3 linked regions of the Elephas maximus indicus genome follow. The protein of the gene in region 3 interacts with the protein of the main gene of each other region in a pairwise test. Links are inferred from orthologs where the notes say so. Each region holds a gene or a part of one and is shown on either strand. Other genes may lie near its edges. The genes, in order: KANSL1, SSC5D and NECAB2.

Evidence for each region.
Region 1: the proteins of NECAB2 (region 3) and KANSL1 interact in binary tests that used the Homo sapiens proteins (3 or more experiments, as listed by UniProt). The two-hybrid records come from large-scale screens. The link is inferred for Elephas maximus indicus from reciprocal best matches to the Homo sapiens genes NECAB2 and KANSL1.
Region 2: the proteins of NECAB2 (region 3) and SSC5D interact in binary tests that used the Homo sapiens proteins (3 or more experiments, as listed by UniProt). The two-hybrid records come from large-scale screens. The link is inferred for Elephas maximus indicus from reciprocal best matches to the Homo sapiens genes NECAB2 and SSC5D.

The regions. Positions count from the first base shown.
Region 1 is NC_064837.1:52,967,706-52,972,597, reverse strand, and holds the start of KANSL1 (KAT8 regulatory NSL complex subunit 1), read left to right. Parts: upstream 1-1,495; 5' UTR 1,496-1,525; intron 1,526-3,086; 5' UTR 3,087-3,228; intron 3,229-4,892. UniProt on the Homo sapiens protein: Non-catalytic component of the NSL histone acetyltransferase complex, a multiprotein complex that mediates histone H4 acetylation at 'Lys-5'- and 'Lys-8' (H4K5ac and H4K8ac) at transcription start sites and promotes transcription initiation.
Region 2 is NC_064829.1:91,527,708-91,532,599, reverse strand, and holds the start of SSC5D (soluble scavenger receptor cysteine-rich domain-containing protein SSC5D), read left to right. Parts: upstream 1-1,837; 5' UTR 1,838-1,953; coding exon 1,954-1,978; intron 1,979-2,485; coding exon 2,486-2,512; intron 2,513-2,825; coding exon 2,826-3,134; intron 3,135-3,669; coding exon 3,670-3,783; intron 3,784-3,970; coding exon 3,971-4,090; intron 4,091-4,740; coding exon 4,741-4,892. Other genes in the region: NAT14 (probable N-acetyltransferase 14), read left to right, coding at 1-311.
Region 3 is NC_064839.1:49,959,685-49,964,576, reverse strand, and holds the start of NECAB2 (N-terminal EF-hand calcium-binding protein 2), read right to left. Parts: upstream 3,375-4,892; coding exon 3,156-3,374; intron 1-3,155. UniProt on the Homo sapiens protein: May act as a signaling scaffold protein that senses intracellular calcium.

The sequences.
Region 1 (4,892 bases), on a different chromosome or scaffold from region 3:
TTAAACACTACACCAGCTCAAAATTATCATGGTCATTAGATCTGCCATTAGCTTTTATTATTTAATATATTGATAAAAAGTATGTATTACTATATCACACTTTAAAAATATTTTGATAACTATATTTCAATATTTGGTGTCTCATGAATTCTTATGTATATTTTTTATGCACTTAAAAACATTGTTCTGAGACCAAAGGGTCCATATGTTTCACCAGATTGCCAAGGGGGTCCATGGCATAAAAAAGTTAAGAACCCCTGCTTTATGGGTATTTTTTTTGGCTTTCATTCTTACTGTCACAGGGTTACCAAAGCCTGAAGAGGATCACTGAAGAGAGCTTCAAGATCTGTGAGCTTCTCATAGATTTTATTATCCTGTTTTTCCAGAGGCCCTTTCTCCCTTAACTTTCACAACTCTTCCATATTCTGTTTCTCTTACCTCACTGACCCTCTGTTTCTTTTCCAAATGTCTGACTTTAACTGTTGGGTATCTTTTTATACTTTGGTGAGTTTATCCATCAGCATGTCATTGACCACTATATTTAGGCAGAGAACCCTAAATCTCTAGTTCAGATTGCTCACCCTTTTGTAAATTCCTTAACTCCAAGTGCCTCTGGACACCTCCACTTGGTTTTACTGCTTCTATCTGGAACCGAACATATTAATAACTAAGTTCCTCCCCAAATCTGTATCTTGTCCCAATTTTCCTGAACAACCACCTTGCCTGTTCCCCTGATTTTGCGATCATAGAATTATTTAAAAATTTAAATCAGTTTTTTAAAATTGGTAATCTTTGTGAATAGCACAAAAATCAGGATATGCAGTGAAAAATATAAGTCTTTCTCCCACCTGGTTCCGCAGGCACTCAGTTCCCCTCCTAGAAGGTAACCACTGTTACCAGATCTTAGAGTGATTTTGGATTCCTTTTTATAGGGGCTATATCTCAAGTCCTCTGTCTCAGAGATGTGTGCCCTTTTCTCTCCAGGCCCTCATGACCTTATATTTTGTTAACTATACATATGTATATAAATATTTATATGTGTATATGCAGTGGGTTTATATGTTTATATACATGTATAAAATCTCTCCCTGTGGCTTTCCGGCCTCGAGTTTTCATCACGTCGCTTCCTGGATGAAAAATCTACCGGGGTGGGGGGCAGGGGCTGGGGGTGATGGAGAAGAGGACAGAGAGGGGACTTAGGTAGGGGGTCAGAGTGGCAGACGGTTGGGAAGCTCGACAGGGATTCCCTTAGCCTATTCTTCCCACCTCAGGCCCCTTTCCAGTCCCCTAGTCCAAAAGCCTCCAGTTTCCAAGAGCTGAGGCAGAGACAGAGACAGAGAGATATACAGAGACAGAGACGCCGAGGCACCAGCATCCCTCTCCCCCTTCCGTCCAGCCCCGCCGCTCTGACGGACACCCGCCATCAGCCAATGGCGCCCACGATGTGTCCCGGAAGGGCCAATGAGAGACGGAGGAGGGCGAAAGATTCCCCGCCCCCACTTCTAGGCTTGGTTGAGCCGTGCAGGTAGGTCCGGGGCTGGGGGAGCTGCCGTTGGCACTGGTGCCCAGGGGGGTGGGGGCACGAGTGGGTAGGGGTGATGGTGGGGAAGGGGAGGCGGCCCCGACGGGGAGAGCCCGAGGGGGCGGCCCGGCCAGGAGGCGGGGAGCCGAAGGGCCCTGGGAGCGGGCGCCGCCGAGGGCCCTGGAAGCGGCTGGGCTGGGGGAGTGGGGACGCGTGTGTGGGGCACACGGACCCCCGCCCTGCGCCCACCCTCAGGACTGGGCCGCGGGTCGCTGGCCGAGTGGCAGGGGAGCCTGGCTGACCGGGGGGCAGGCCGGAGCCGGGGGCAGGGGCGCCGAGCTGAGCCCAGGGCGCCAGGCCGAGCCGAGGTGGGACGGACCGACGCGGAGAGGAAGGGAAGCTGCATCCCGCGGGCCGCCCCTCCAGAAGCGAGCTGGGGAAACGGCCGGCCGCCGGTTCCCCCACCTTGAGCTCACTCCTCCCTATTCCCCCACCCCAACAATGGGTATGGGGCAGGAGGAGTCGCCCCACTGCGGGGAGGTGGGGGGGGGATTCGGTTTGGGACAAGGGTCCAAGTTGGGGGGAGGGGTGGGAACTCGGGCTCTCCCTTTTCTTTCCCCTCCTGGCTTCGAATGTGGGGATCTTGGAGGGGCGTATTAAACATACCTGAGACTTGGGGCAAGAGTCAAACTGCAGGCCCCCCCCCCCCCGCCAAAAAAAAAAATCCGATGAGCGGTGAGGAAAGTGATGCCATTTCTTCAAAGCCAGAGTGACAAACACGTACCAAGAACAAATCCACTCCAGAGGTTTTTATTTTATTTTTTATTAAAAAACGGGGATACTTTCGTCTTAGATTTTTCGAAATATATTTTAAAGAGGTGGGTGCTGTCATTTTTGTCCCTACTCGGGCCAGCCTCCATTTTAAGCTAAGCAGTAACTGGTTAAGCTGGAATTACATTCAGGCCTAGGACTTAAACAAGGATCCTACAAGAGGTCATTTAGTCCATCCTCCTGCCGCCAGGCAAAATTGTCTCCCTCCCATCATCAAAATTAAGTTGTTTGGTAGATTTTTAAAGATCTCTGGGGAAGAGGAGTCTTTTCCTTGATTGTAGTATTTTAGTCAAGAGATTTTATTTTTCAGTAGAATCAGCTCTGAAACTTAATTTAAGCCTAATAAAACTCAGAGAGGTTTTAATTTACAAAATAAAATTTAAGTGTGGTAAGGGGCTTGTAAACAACAACAACAACAACAAAAAACACAAATTATCTTTCAGTAGTGTTTATGAAGTGCCCGGGATAATCATTTTTCTCTCTGGGATTTTGGTTTTCTAATTCTTGATAAACAACAACAACAAAATGTTTTACTTATTTTATCTAGGATATGTGTATATGTACAGATAGATACATAAACCTACACATTTGCCCTTTCCAAAAGGAGACTGACTGTTTTGTACATCTTTTAGGATGGTGACGCAAGTAGTACTTCAAATCTCTGTCCTGGTAGCTTAAACTATTTGCTTATTGATTTATTTTTTTTAGTCTAAATGTAAGTTCTCTCTTTCAGATAACTTCTTGAAACAAAAAATTTTCCTACCTGCTCATACTTGGTGACTTCAAGGGAATTACTAAGACTCCCTTCTTGCTCATTTCTGAGTATTGTCTGAACTATTCCTGACACTATGAATGCTATTTGGATGCCTCTTAAGGTAAGACATGTTATTTTTTTCATTAATGGCCTCATTTATTTTCTTTAGAATTGAGAACATTTTACTTCTTGAATTTGTTATTCAGCTCTTTACCTGGCACTCCTCTCCCCTCAAAAATTATTGTGTTTGCCTTCTAGGAACTGATTGGTCACTCCCTTTGTATTGCTACTGGTCTTGATTACTGGTGTTAAAATGTTGATGAAGTCCTCAGATTAACTTCCATTATAATGGTTTGTTCAATATTTTAGTTTTAATTATGACAACCCACATAGTTGTAAAATTCTGTTCCATTCCCAGCAGGATGAGCTGGCAATTCAGACATCGAGGTCCACTCTCAAACAGGTGCTTGAGAGTCATAGGTACTAGGGTGTGTCCCACTCTTGCAAATCAGCTGATTCATGTATTGCAAAAGGTGTTTCATTAACCATTGGTTTATTCTGAAACTTTATATAGTATATTAGAACATTCTAAGACTTGCTGGTCTACGTGGACAGCTCTTTTGGAGTGTACGCCTTCTGCTCCCTAGCTTTCTGCATGAAATTTTATGCTGTTTTTCTCAACAGGTAGCATTTTGTGTCAAGTTTCATCTCATGGGGTAAATGCTATTTGGACAGTGTGGGCAGAATGGTCTTCAGGTGAAAACACTCGTTGGTGTGGTTGTTCTCCACTGTCCCTTGCCTCTTTCCCACCCTTTGTGTATAGATGGCTAAAGTATTGTCCATTAAGGCTAAGCAGAGGGCAAAGCCTAAGACGTGGGGAGGAAGGACAGAGAAAAAGATAAGGAGTGATGGAGGTCCTCCACCAGTGTCCCCAGATGGCACAGGTTGCCTTCCCTGGAGCTTGATGCTAGTATAGTTAAGATCATTGTATAGTAATCTGCCTGTGGAATTCCAGGTTGATGCAGTAGGTAAATCACAGTATAAGGCAGTGTCTGTACCCTAAATATTTGGACTTGTGGAAAATCTTTAGGTAATGTAGACTGAGTGCTCATTTTCATTTATGTTCCAGCTGCTATTGGTGGATAATGAGTGCCTGTATTAGTATGAAAAAAGCCAAAGTGGCATAGTTTTTCCAGCCATTCTCTCTGTAGAGTTGGAGGGTTTGCATGGGGAGCCCAGCCAGAAGTCCTGAACCATAGTAATTGCAGGATCTTATTGTACAAGAATGTTTGTTTCTCTTCGGTACCACGTGTTTAGTGCCAGTACCTGGCATCCTCTGTGCTCTTTGGGAAGCAGACGGAAATATCAATGGCTACTAGTTCCCTAGAAACTTAAGGAAATTGGTATCAATATATATATTGAATTTCATTTTAATCACTTTGGTCTTAATTAGTGTATTAGGTATACACAGGTCTGCTTTTTTAAGATATACGATGTTTGAGATTGTACATCTAAATGTCTCTGAATTTGGGAGTGTTATAAATAATATAGTTCCACAGTTGCCCTGAAGCTGTACCAAAGGCCTGTGGCATGGCAGGAATACAAAACATAAGCAGTGCTTCATACTGTGTGAATTACCACCTGTTAACTACTTAAGAATGTAGTTATGTGGCTGCCGTAATTTATTTTCTCTACCAGTCTTTTGATCAGTGAAAGACGCCTAAGTTTAAACAAATCTTTTATTTGCTAATATTTTCCTCCTAATTTTATTACTTAAAAAACTTA
Region 2 (4,892 bases), on a different chromosome or scaffold from region 3:
CGGGCGATGTGTGCGGCGTCCTGGCCCTGGCACCTGGCACAAATGCAGGGGACGGGGCCCGGGTAACCCGCCTCTCTGTTTCCCGCTGGCACCGCCGCCGGGGCGTGGGCAGGAGGCTGCTGGCCTTTGCCGAGGCCCGGGCCCGTGCCTGGGCAGGGGGCATGGGTGAGCCTCGGGCCCGTCTTGTGGTCCCGGTGGCTGTGGCCGCCTGGGGGGTGGCAGGGATGTTGGAGGGCTGTGGGTACCAGGCTGAGGGGGGCTGGGGCTGCATGGGCTACATGCTAGTGCGGGAGTTCAGCAAAGAACTGTGACTCACCTGCCCAAGGAGAGCTGGGTCTGGGTGGGAAACCAGCATTTAGTGAGCATCTACTGTGTGCCAGGAAGGTTCACTCCACTCTGTCCACTGCCCAATGTGGGTAGTGTTTGGACTTTGGTAGTGTGTGAACTTCTGAGAGTGGAATCCCTCCTTTCCACTCTTGGCTCTCTCTTGGGAGCCAACAAAGCTCAGCCTGTCCAACCCTCTGCCTCAGATCCAGCCTGCACTGAGAAATCTCCCCCCCTCCCATCTGTGCTACAGGCCTGGAAGAGAGATTGGGAGGGGAGAATGAGCAAGTATGCCCCCTAAGAGTGAGGCTTAGCAGCAGGGGCATGCTTCAATGGGGGTTTCCTGAGCATGCGTTGGGGTTTGAGGCCTGTGATTGGAGGGGACAGGGCTGCAGAGTGGGTGGGGAAGGTTGGTGGGGTTGAGCAGAGCCTTTGCAGGGAAGGGCTGTCTGCATCTCGGGGAGCCTGGTGGGGACTGGGGTGGTGGGGGGAGGTGCAGGGCTGCCAGGGCTGGACTGTCTGGGAAGCTGAGAACTGAGAGCAGTGGGCGGGCAGCATCCCCTCCAGCCTTCCCTTCAGACCCATCTGGTTTTTTACACTCATTTGTTAATAAAGCCCAAAACTGCTGTGTGCCCTACTCTGTCTCTGATGCCTTTTCCAGTCTGTCTTCAGAGCCCCCCTTCTGTCTGGCTCCTCCTTCCCCAAGTCGACATGAATTGTTGGTTGGGGGGGAGGGTGGAGGCTGCACCGGGAGAAGGGGAGGCAATGAGCTCACAGCGGCTCAGTCCCTGCCAGCCCTTCTGACTCACGAGCCCCATTACCGAATTTTTTCCACCTCACAGCTGCCTGGTGCAGAGAAAGAGAGAGAGCGTATATGTGTGTGAGTGTGTGGAGTTCTCACTCCCCCCACCCAAACCTTGGCCAAAACTGAGGTCTCCCCATACCCCTCCACTTCCCATTTCTTACTCATTAGAGTCATCTATATGCAACCAACCCTCCCCACAGATGCAGGAATAGGGATTTTGCATTCAAACCTACCAGGAGTAGGGGCCAGGGAGGAGGGAACTTGCTCAGTCTCCTTTCCTAATCTAGGAAGTCCTTCCTGGTGTCTGGCTGCAAGCCTGCTAGCTGCACCCAGCCCCAGATGTACCTGGCTCAACCTCCATCCCCTCCACTGTGGTCTGACCATCTTCCCAGGCTGGACAAGAGAGGAGGCAGGAGGGGGCTCCCCATCTCTGCCAGGCCCCTACATCCACCTCCATGCTGGCCCTGCCTGCAGCCTGCCACCCCAGGTCTCTAAGCCCAGGTCATTACTGGTTTAAAGCCTGGTTGGTTCCCGTGTGGGTGTTTGCAGCTTGGACACCCTCCCTCCCTCCCGCCCGCCCGCCCGCCAGCCCGCCAGCCACCCCCCTTCTCTCCACACCCCAGCCGCTGGCCAGCTCCCTCCCTGCCCCCCGCTGTCCCCTGCCGCCTCCTCGCAGCCTCTCTCTTCCTTCTGGAAGAGCGTCCAGCCCCTGCCTGCTCCTCCCTGGGTCCAGGGCGCCTCCAAGGCACTTCCCTCCTGTGGCTGCCTCCTCCTCCTTCCCCCCCTTCCCCTTTCACCCTGTCCCTGCCCCGGCCTCTGCAAACATGAGGGTCCTGGCCTGCCTCCTCGGTGAGTGACCCGTCCTCCTAAGGGACTCAGGGGTCCTGCGTCCTTGCCCTCTGACCCCTTCATCATCAAGTTCAGGGACTCAGACTTCCAGGACCCCAGTCCCTTGAGGATCCATCCTTCTTCGGGATGCCCAGTCTCTCCCTCCTGGGGACCCAAGGGACCTGGCCCCTCCCCTTGGCCCTGACCCTGGGGTGGGGACCACTCAGCCATGTGACCTTCAGCCAACCCCCTAGGGGAACACAAAGGACCTGGTCTCTAGCCCTGATTTCAGGCGCCAGGACCTGACTCTGATTCCAGCCCTCTGCAGTGGGGTTCCAGGTCTGAGATATGAGGACTCCGAGCGCACGCGCGTGCGGGTGTGCGCGTGTGCTTGTGTGTGTGTGTGTGTGTGTATACACGTGCGCACGCGTATTGGGATATTCCCAACAAAGGTCCCGCTATGCAGAAAGGACCCCTCTTGGGTGGGGCCTGCCCCTCACTCTTTCCCACCCGTCAAACCCCTTGCAGCCGCTCTAATGGGGATCCAGGCTGTTGGTAAGTCCCCAAACTCTTCTGCCATCTAGTCTTGCCGAGCTTCCAGCCTGCCCTATCGGCTTCACTTCATCCTCCACCAAAGCCCTGGCCACCCCCATCTCCACGTGACCTCTTGACTGGCCCTCCGGGGAACCACTCCCCCTGGGGACCCAGGTGTCCAACCTCTTCCCACCTCTCTCCTGAGTGCCCAGTTGTCTGGGTCCCCCAGTGACCAGCTGGCTTCCCAATTGTCCCCTGCATCCCCTACCCTCATCCTGCCCCAGGGCCTTGGGAGTGTCTCTCCCCGGGGTCAGAGCCTCCCCTCCGTCCCCAGAGCGGCTGCACCTGGCTGACGGCCCCCATGAGTGCGCTGGCCGGCTGGAGGTGTGGCATGCAGGGCGCTGGGGGACAGTGTGTGACGACGGCTGGGACCTGCGGGACGCTGCTGTGGCCTGCCGGGAGCTGGGCTGCGGGGGTGCGCTGGCTGCCCCTGGAGGTGCCTTCTTTGGGGAGGGCGCCGGGCCAGTGTGGCTCAGTGAGCTGGCCTGCCGGGGCAGCGAGGGGCGGCTGGGCTTGTGCCCCCACCGTGGCTGGAAGGCCCACATCTGCTCTCATGAGGAGGACGCAGGCGTTGTCTGTGCAGGTGAGGAGGGCTCCTTGGCTCTAAATGTCATCTGCCAGGTGAGGAGTCCCTGGCCCAGGGGTTATCTGCCAGGTGATGAGTACCTGGCCCCAGCTGACTTCTGCCAAGTGAAGGGTCCCTGGCCCAGGTGTCATCTGCAGGTGAGGGGTCCCTGGGCCCAGGTGTCATCTGTGCAGGTGAGGGGTCCCTGGGCCCAGGTGTCATCGGTGCATGTGAGGGGTCCCTGGCTCAGGGGTCATCTGTGCAGGTGAGGGGTCCCTGGTCCTTGTTTGGGGCAGCCTGTTCTCCAGCTCCTTCAGAGATGACCCAGGGACCCAAGTCCTCAGCCCCAGTAACTGAGGGTCCAGGAGTCCAGATCTCCAATCTCTAATCCCCTCAAAAGCCACTATCTCCCTCAGGGACCCCCACTTTACAAGTGGTAGCTTTGGAGCCCTGGAGGACAAGGTAATGGGCATCCCAGCCCCTGCTGCTCTCTCAGGGACGCTGTGCCCTCTTTACTGTCCCCTCCCCCTCACAGTTTCTGTTCTCTCCATAGGCCAGCGTGTGGCAGCAAATTCCAGGGAATCGGCCCCTCTTGTGGGTGGGGATCTGTGGCTGGGGCTGTCCAGGGAGTTCAGTCCAGGGCCTGAGGTGCCCCCCACGACTTCTGGTGAGTCCCAGGGCTCACCAACTAGCCCCGCCCCATGCTCTCCTGGCCTCACTGTGGATGGTCTCCTCCCAGCTCTGGGAAGTCCTCCTTGTGCCCCAGCTATATTTGGAGGCTGAGAAGGTATAGCCCAGTCCCCCAGGTGGACAGAAGTTTGAGCTCCTGACCTCATGGCTGTCTTCTCCCTTAGTCCCCCGCCTGGTAGGAAGCTCCCAGAACAGTGGTGGCTCCCGGAAGAAGAGCCCCCGGCCACCCAAGCAGGCCAAGTCCACCAGGGCTCCTGTGCTGACCACCGGGGCTGCCCGCCAAGGTAAGTCCTTGCAGGTCCCCCAAACTGGATGCCCTAGGCCCAGCTTCCGACACCCCTTGGGGATTCAGGAGGCCCAGCCCTGTCTCTCCCTCTCCCCACCACCTGCCCATTCATTTAAGTGACCTAAGTGTCTGACTTTTGGCACCCAGGTACCACCCCCATTCCTGGCTCTCTCCTTAATGGGCAGGTCTCATGCAGGACCTGATTCTGTCACTGGACAAGCCACTGCCCTCTCTGGGCCTCAGTCTCCCCAGATAAGAAATGAGGGGGTTGAATGTGCTTATCCCAAACTGTGGTCAGACAAAACCCCCAGGTCCTTATTGTCCTCCTAGGCCCCTCACAGTCCTTCTGAGTCCCTCACTATCCCTCTAGACCCCTCCCTGCCCCCCAGGCCCCTCCCCGTTCCCACAGGCCCCACCCTGTCCCCCCAGGTCCCTCCCCATTCCTCCAGACCCCTCACCATCTCCCCAGACCCCTTTCTGTCCCCCCACACCCCTCCCTATCCCCCAGGCCCTTACCTGTCCCCTCAGACCCTTCATTGTCCCCCCAGGCTCCTCACTGCCTCCTCACTCCCTTCTCATCCCCTCAGGTCCCCTGCAGTCTCCCCTGTCCCTTACTGTCCCTTTCCCACCCACTCCTCCATCCCCTAGAACGGTTGCGGTTGCGGCTGGTCTCAGGTACCCACAGCTGTGTGGGCAGGCTGGAGGTGTGGCATGCGGGACGCTGGGGGACAGTGTGTGACGACGGCTGGGACCTGAGAGACGCTGCTGTGGCCTGCCGGGAGCTGGGCTGTGGGGGGGCG
Region 3 (4,892 bases):
ACGCTGCACGGACAGGCACAGCCCTTACAGAGTCACCATCCACACTGCCCACCCCCACACACACGTCACACAAAGAATCAGTGATCGGGGACACAGCCACACGCCAAGCCTTGCACCCTCTCCCAGACCCCTCAGAGCCTTGTTTCTTCAGGAAGGTTGGATTTGGTCTGAACTGAATAGGCTGTGGGTGGGTGGGGGTTGGGGGGGGGGAGGCGGACGAGTGATTTTCTGCGTGGGGAGTAGGTGGCACAGGTGCCAGGGGCTCAGAAACCAGGGCAGGCTGTTCTGGCTGCACCAGGCAGGGAAAAGGAGCAGCCCAATTCCCAAACCTGAGGGCTTCTGTGAGAAAAGCCTCTGCTCGGCTGGGGAAGACTGAATCTCTTTTTCATCGGCCTTTCCGGCGACATCCGCACCGAGGCAGAGCCCTGGCCCCATCCACCAAGGCCAGGGATGCCCATCCCTCCCACACGCGACCATCGACCATCGCCTGGTGGGCTTTGCAAGCCTCTGCACCCCCGCCCTGCCTCGCTGGTGGGACCCAGGTGTCTTGAGTTTTAAGGCTTCCTGGGTGTGGCCATTGTTGAAACCTGTGTGCTAGAGACCTGCTCCACCTGGAAATGAGTCAGGCCCGCAGCACTGGGTACCCCTGGAAGCCTGTTAGAAATGCAGAGTCTCAGGCCCACCTGGCCCCACTAAGTCAAAACCTACTTTTTATCCAAATCCTCAGGATCTTATTTGCACACTAATGTCTGAGTGCGACTGCAGGGAAGGGGCAGACCCTAACTTCCCAGATCTGGGAAAAAAATAGGGGCCTCAGGCAGGTTGCTGCCGATCCCTGAGCCTCAGTTTCCTCTGAGCTTAATCAGCTTGTTAGACTGGGTAGGTAAGTGGTGCTCAAGAGAGGCGGGGAGGAGGCTGGGGCCTCTGGCTGTCCCACCTCCCTCCTTGCCCTGGGGCACCAGCCAGCTGGCCCTGCCACCCTCCATCCCTGGAGCACTGTCCTTTATCATCACAGGGGCTGTACCAGGCTGAAGAAGCAGCTGGAGGGGGGGCTTACATGCGCCCTGCTGCCCCATGGGGGCTGGTCGCCCCTTCCCCTTACTGAACCCTGACACCTGGGGACCAGCAGGAATCACAGTGACTGAGGCTGAAGGGGGATCAGACGCCCCCAAACCCTCCTCCAGAATCAGCCTAGGCACCTCACACCCTTCCTCCCAACAGTGCGAGCCCCCAAGGATGGGGGTCCCAGGCCTCCCCTGGAGCCTGGCACTGGGCAGGCACCTGCTCTGGGCATGACTCGTCAAGTGAGTGACAGCCAGTGATGTCAGCTCCGGGAGTCTGCAAGGGCACTCTGGGAAGGCCCGCTCAGTCACCCCATTTCTCAAATGAGCAAACGGAGGAGGCTCAGAGCCCACCATCATCACCATCAGAGAACTGGAATCAGGAGGAGTATAGACAAAGCCCAGCGGCTCTGGGGGTCTGGGAAAAGAAGCTCCAGCTGTTGGAGTGTGTGTGTGTCTGGCTGTTTGAGTGTATGCTTGGGGCACCAGAGACAGAAGCACTCACAGTCCTGCTGTCCCTTCCCTGCCCAGCCCTCCTCGCCCAGACCTGGCTACAGGTTCCAGGAGAGACAGAGGGAAGAAAAAGGGGTGCACGCACACACACACTCCCAGAAACACAACCCACCTCTTCATACACTCAGAGGTACCCCCACCCCCCACCAGCCACGCACCTCACAGGGCCCTCACTGGGACACACAAGTTGGCATCCCCATGCTGTCACTGGAGGTGGGGGAGACCTCTGATGAAGCCCCTCCATTCCTCCAAGATGCTCCACAGGGGGAAGCTCCCCACCAGCAGGCATCCATCCTGAGGAATCCTCCCTCCCCCATGGGGGCAAGGGGGATGGGTTCCCAGACTGCATGGGAGAGGGAGTGAGGAATGAGTCTGGGGTTCCTGAAGTGCACAGGGCTCTCGTGAGGGAAGGGTACGTGAGGGAAGGGCACGAGTGGAGACAGGAATGGAGGGCAGCTGGGTGCTTGGAGTAGAGTGGCTGGTCGGGGAATGGAAGCCCTGGAGGGGTCCAGGCTCGGGTGGAAGTGGTTCTGCATCAACGGAAAAGAGAGGCTAGGTGGGGAGGGGCTTCACTTTCAAGGGGGTTGTGTTGGGGAAAAGGGTCTTTGATTAGGAATGACACAACTGGGCTGGGGGGCCCTGCGTCGGGAAGAAAGAGGGGCCAAGCTGGGGGTTGTGGGGGTCTCAGAAAAGTAGCTACTGGGATAGAAAGGAGACGGGTTGGGGGTGGCCGGGGCTCCTTTCCGGGAAGCGACAGGGTAAAAGGTGGAGTGTAGGTCTGGGAAAAGGATCGGGGATTGCCTAGGACAAAATTAGTGAGGTGGCCAGGTCCGGGAGGGAGGTTCAAGGGCCCCAGCTCTGCGAAGGTGGGGAAGCGGAGAAGTGGAGGGAGGGGGCAAGGAGGAAACCCCGCTCCAGGTAGGAGCGGACACAGGGTGAAGGGGACTCCTGTCCAGGGAGATGAGAGGACTCGGGGTGCAGACCAGTCAGGGACATGGGGAGGCTGGGGGGTTCACGCTGTGGGGAGCGGAGAGGCCGCGTGAGGGTCCTGCCTCGGTTTGCCGAGGGGAATGGATACGAGTTCCCTGCTCAGAGAAGAGGGGGCTCTGAGTCCTGGCGGGAACAGGGGGTCCGTGTCAGGGGCCATTCCTCGAGAGGAGGGGTCTCGGGGAACAAGGGGCTCCGTGTTGAGGTCCCTTTCCTGAGAGAACGAGGCGCAGAGTCCCAGCAGGCAGGGCGTCTCCCCCAAGAAGGGGGGCTCTAGGTCCGGCAGGAACCGGGAGTCCGTGTCGGCTCTCCTCCCTCGAGAGAAGGGACGCGGGGTCCTCGCAGGAACGGAGTTCCCCCAGAGAGGAGGGATACAGGGTCCCGGCAGGAACCGAGTTTCGTTTCGGGGTCCCCCGAGAGGAGGGCCACGGGGGTCCAGGCAGGAAAAGGGTTCCGTGTCGGGGTCCCCCTAGAGAGGAGGGGGCGCGGGGTCCCAGCAGGAACGGAGGTCCTTGTCTGGGTCCCCTCCGAGAGGGACGCGAGGTCCAGCCGGGACCCGCAGGGGCTCCGGCGGGTCGGGGCGCGCGTACTCACGTCCAGGATGACGGCGGTGCCCCCGCGCAGCGCGGCGGGGCCGGGCCGGGGGTCGGCGTCGGGGGTGGTGGGAGCGTCGGGGGCCAGCGGCGCCCGAGGCTCGCCCATCCTGGCGCCCACCCAGCGCAGCAGCCCGCCCAGCGCCCGGCCCTGCGGCGGCGGCTCCCGGAGCAGCCTGTGCGCGCCGGCCCTGCACAGGCGCGCCGCCCGCTCGCACATCGCTCCGCCACCGGAGCCCGCCGACCCCCGCCCGCCGCCCGCGCGACCCTCCCGGCGCCGCCCGCCGCCGGGCCCCGCCTCCCTTCTCGGTCCGCGGCCGCGGACACTCGGGACAGCCGGGCGGGGACGGGGGGGCCCGGACCCCGCGCCACGTGCCAGGTCCACCACCCCCACCCCGCCGGGCGCTGCGGCGGGGGCTGCCTGGGGGCGCGGGCCGGTTGGCTGGACCCCGGCAGGCCGGGGAGGGGGCTGCAGCGGAGGAGGCGCGGGGGTGTCTGGCTGCTGGAAGGGGGTCCCTGGGGGCTGCCCCCCCTCCGGAGCCCCCTTCCCATGAGCCCCTCCTCCCCCCGTGGCGCCGCCGCAGGGGCCGGAGCGCTGTGTCCGGCGAGCCCGCAGCGCCCTCTGCTGGTGCCGGCTCTAGGTTCAGCGTTCACACGCCTCAGGCCTCCCCCGCCCCATCACTTCCCTGGCACCCACCCTTGCCCTCCAAGGGATTGCACGCCCCCCAGACCTCCCTCTGCCATTACACAGGCCCAGAACCAATCTACGCCCCAGGACACCTTCCTCCTCTCCCACTCCCACTCATCCACCCACTCAAAGGATTCATTAAGAAACACCTGCCACACAGCAGAGACTCCCTGAGGGAGCAGGAGAACAGTGGGATGCAGACCTCAAATTCTCGCAAAAAGACCAGACTTAACGGTCTGACTGAGACTAGAGGGAACCCGGACGTCACGGTCCCCAGACCTTCCATTAGCCCAAGATAGGAACCATTCCCAAAACCAACTCTTCAGACAGGGATTGGACTGGACTGTAAGACAGAAAATGATCCTGGTGAGGAGTGAGCTTCTTGGCTCAAGGAGACACATGAGACTATGTGGGCAGCTCCTGTCTGGAAGGAAGGTGAGAAGGCAGAGGGGAACAGGAGTCAGCTCAATGGACACAGGAAATACAGAGTGGAGAGGAGTGTGCTGTCTCATTAGGGGGAGAGCACTACATAGCAAGGTGTATATATATTTTTGTATGAGAGACTGAGTTGATTTGTAAACTTTCACTTGAAGCACAATAAAAATTTTTAAAAAGAAAAAGAAATACCTGCCAGGTGCTAGGTCTCGTGCTAGGCACCAGGATCCAACCCCGGGGCACAACACCCCCCTGGTGCAGAGCCATACACTGGAATGATTCCACGAATAAATGAACAACTGAAACTGAGATGCTCTGAAGTGGTGGTGCCATGGGCCACGAGAACCACCAACAGGGGTTTGTGTCAGCAGAGGCTTCCTAGAGGAAGTGACCCTCATGCCAAGTGACTCAAAGGAAGAGAAGGAGTTAAAGAGAGGAGGAAAAAGTCATGGGCTAGAGACCAGCCTGTGCAAAGGCCCTGTGGCAGGCTTGGGCATGGTAGGCAGGAGGAACTGAGAGGACAGTGTGACGGGGAGAGGGGCAGGGAATGTAGGCAGGGGCTGCAAAGACCTCCACAGCACATCAGTCCTGGAACACACCCTCCCCCAAATCTTC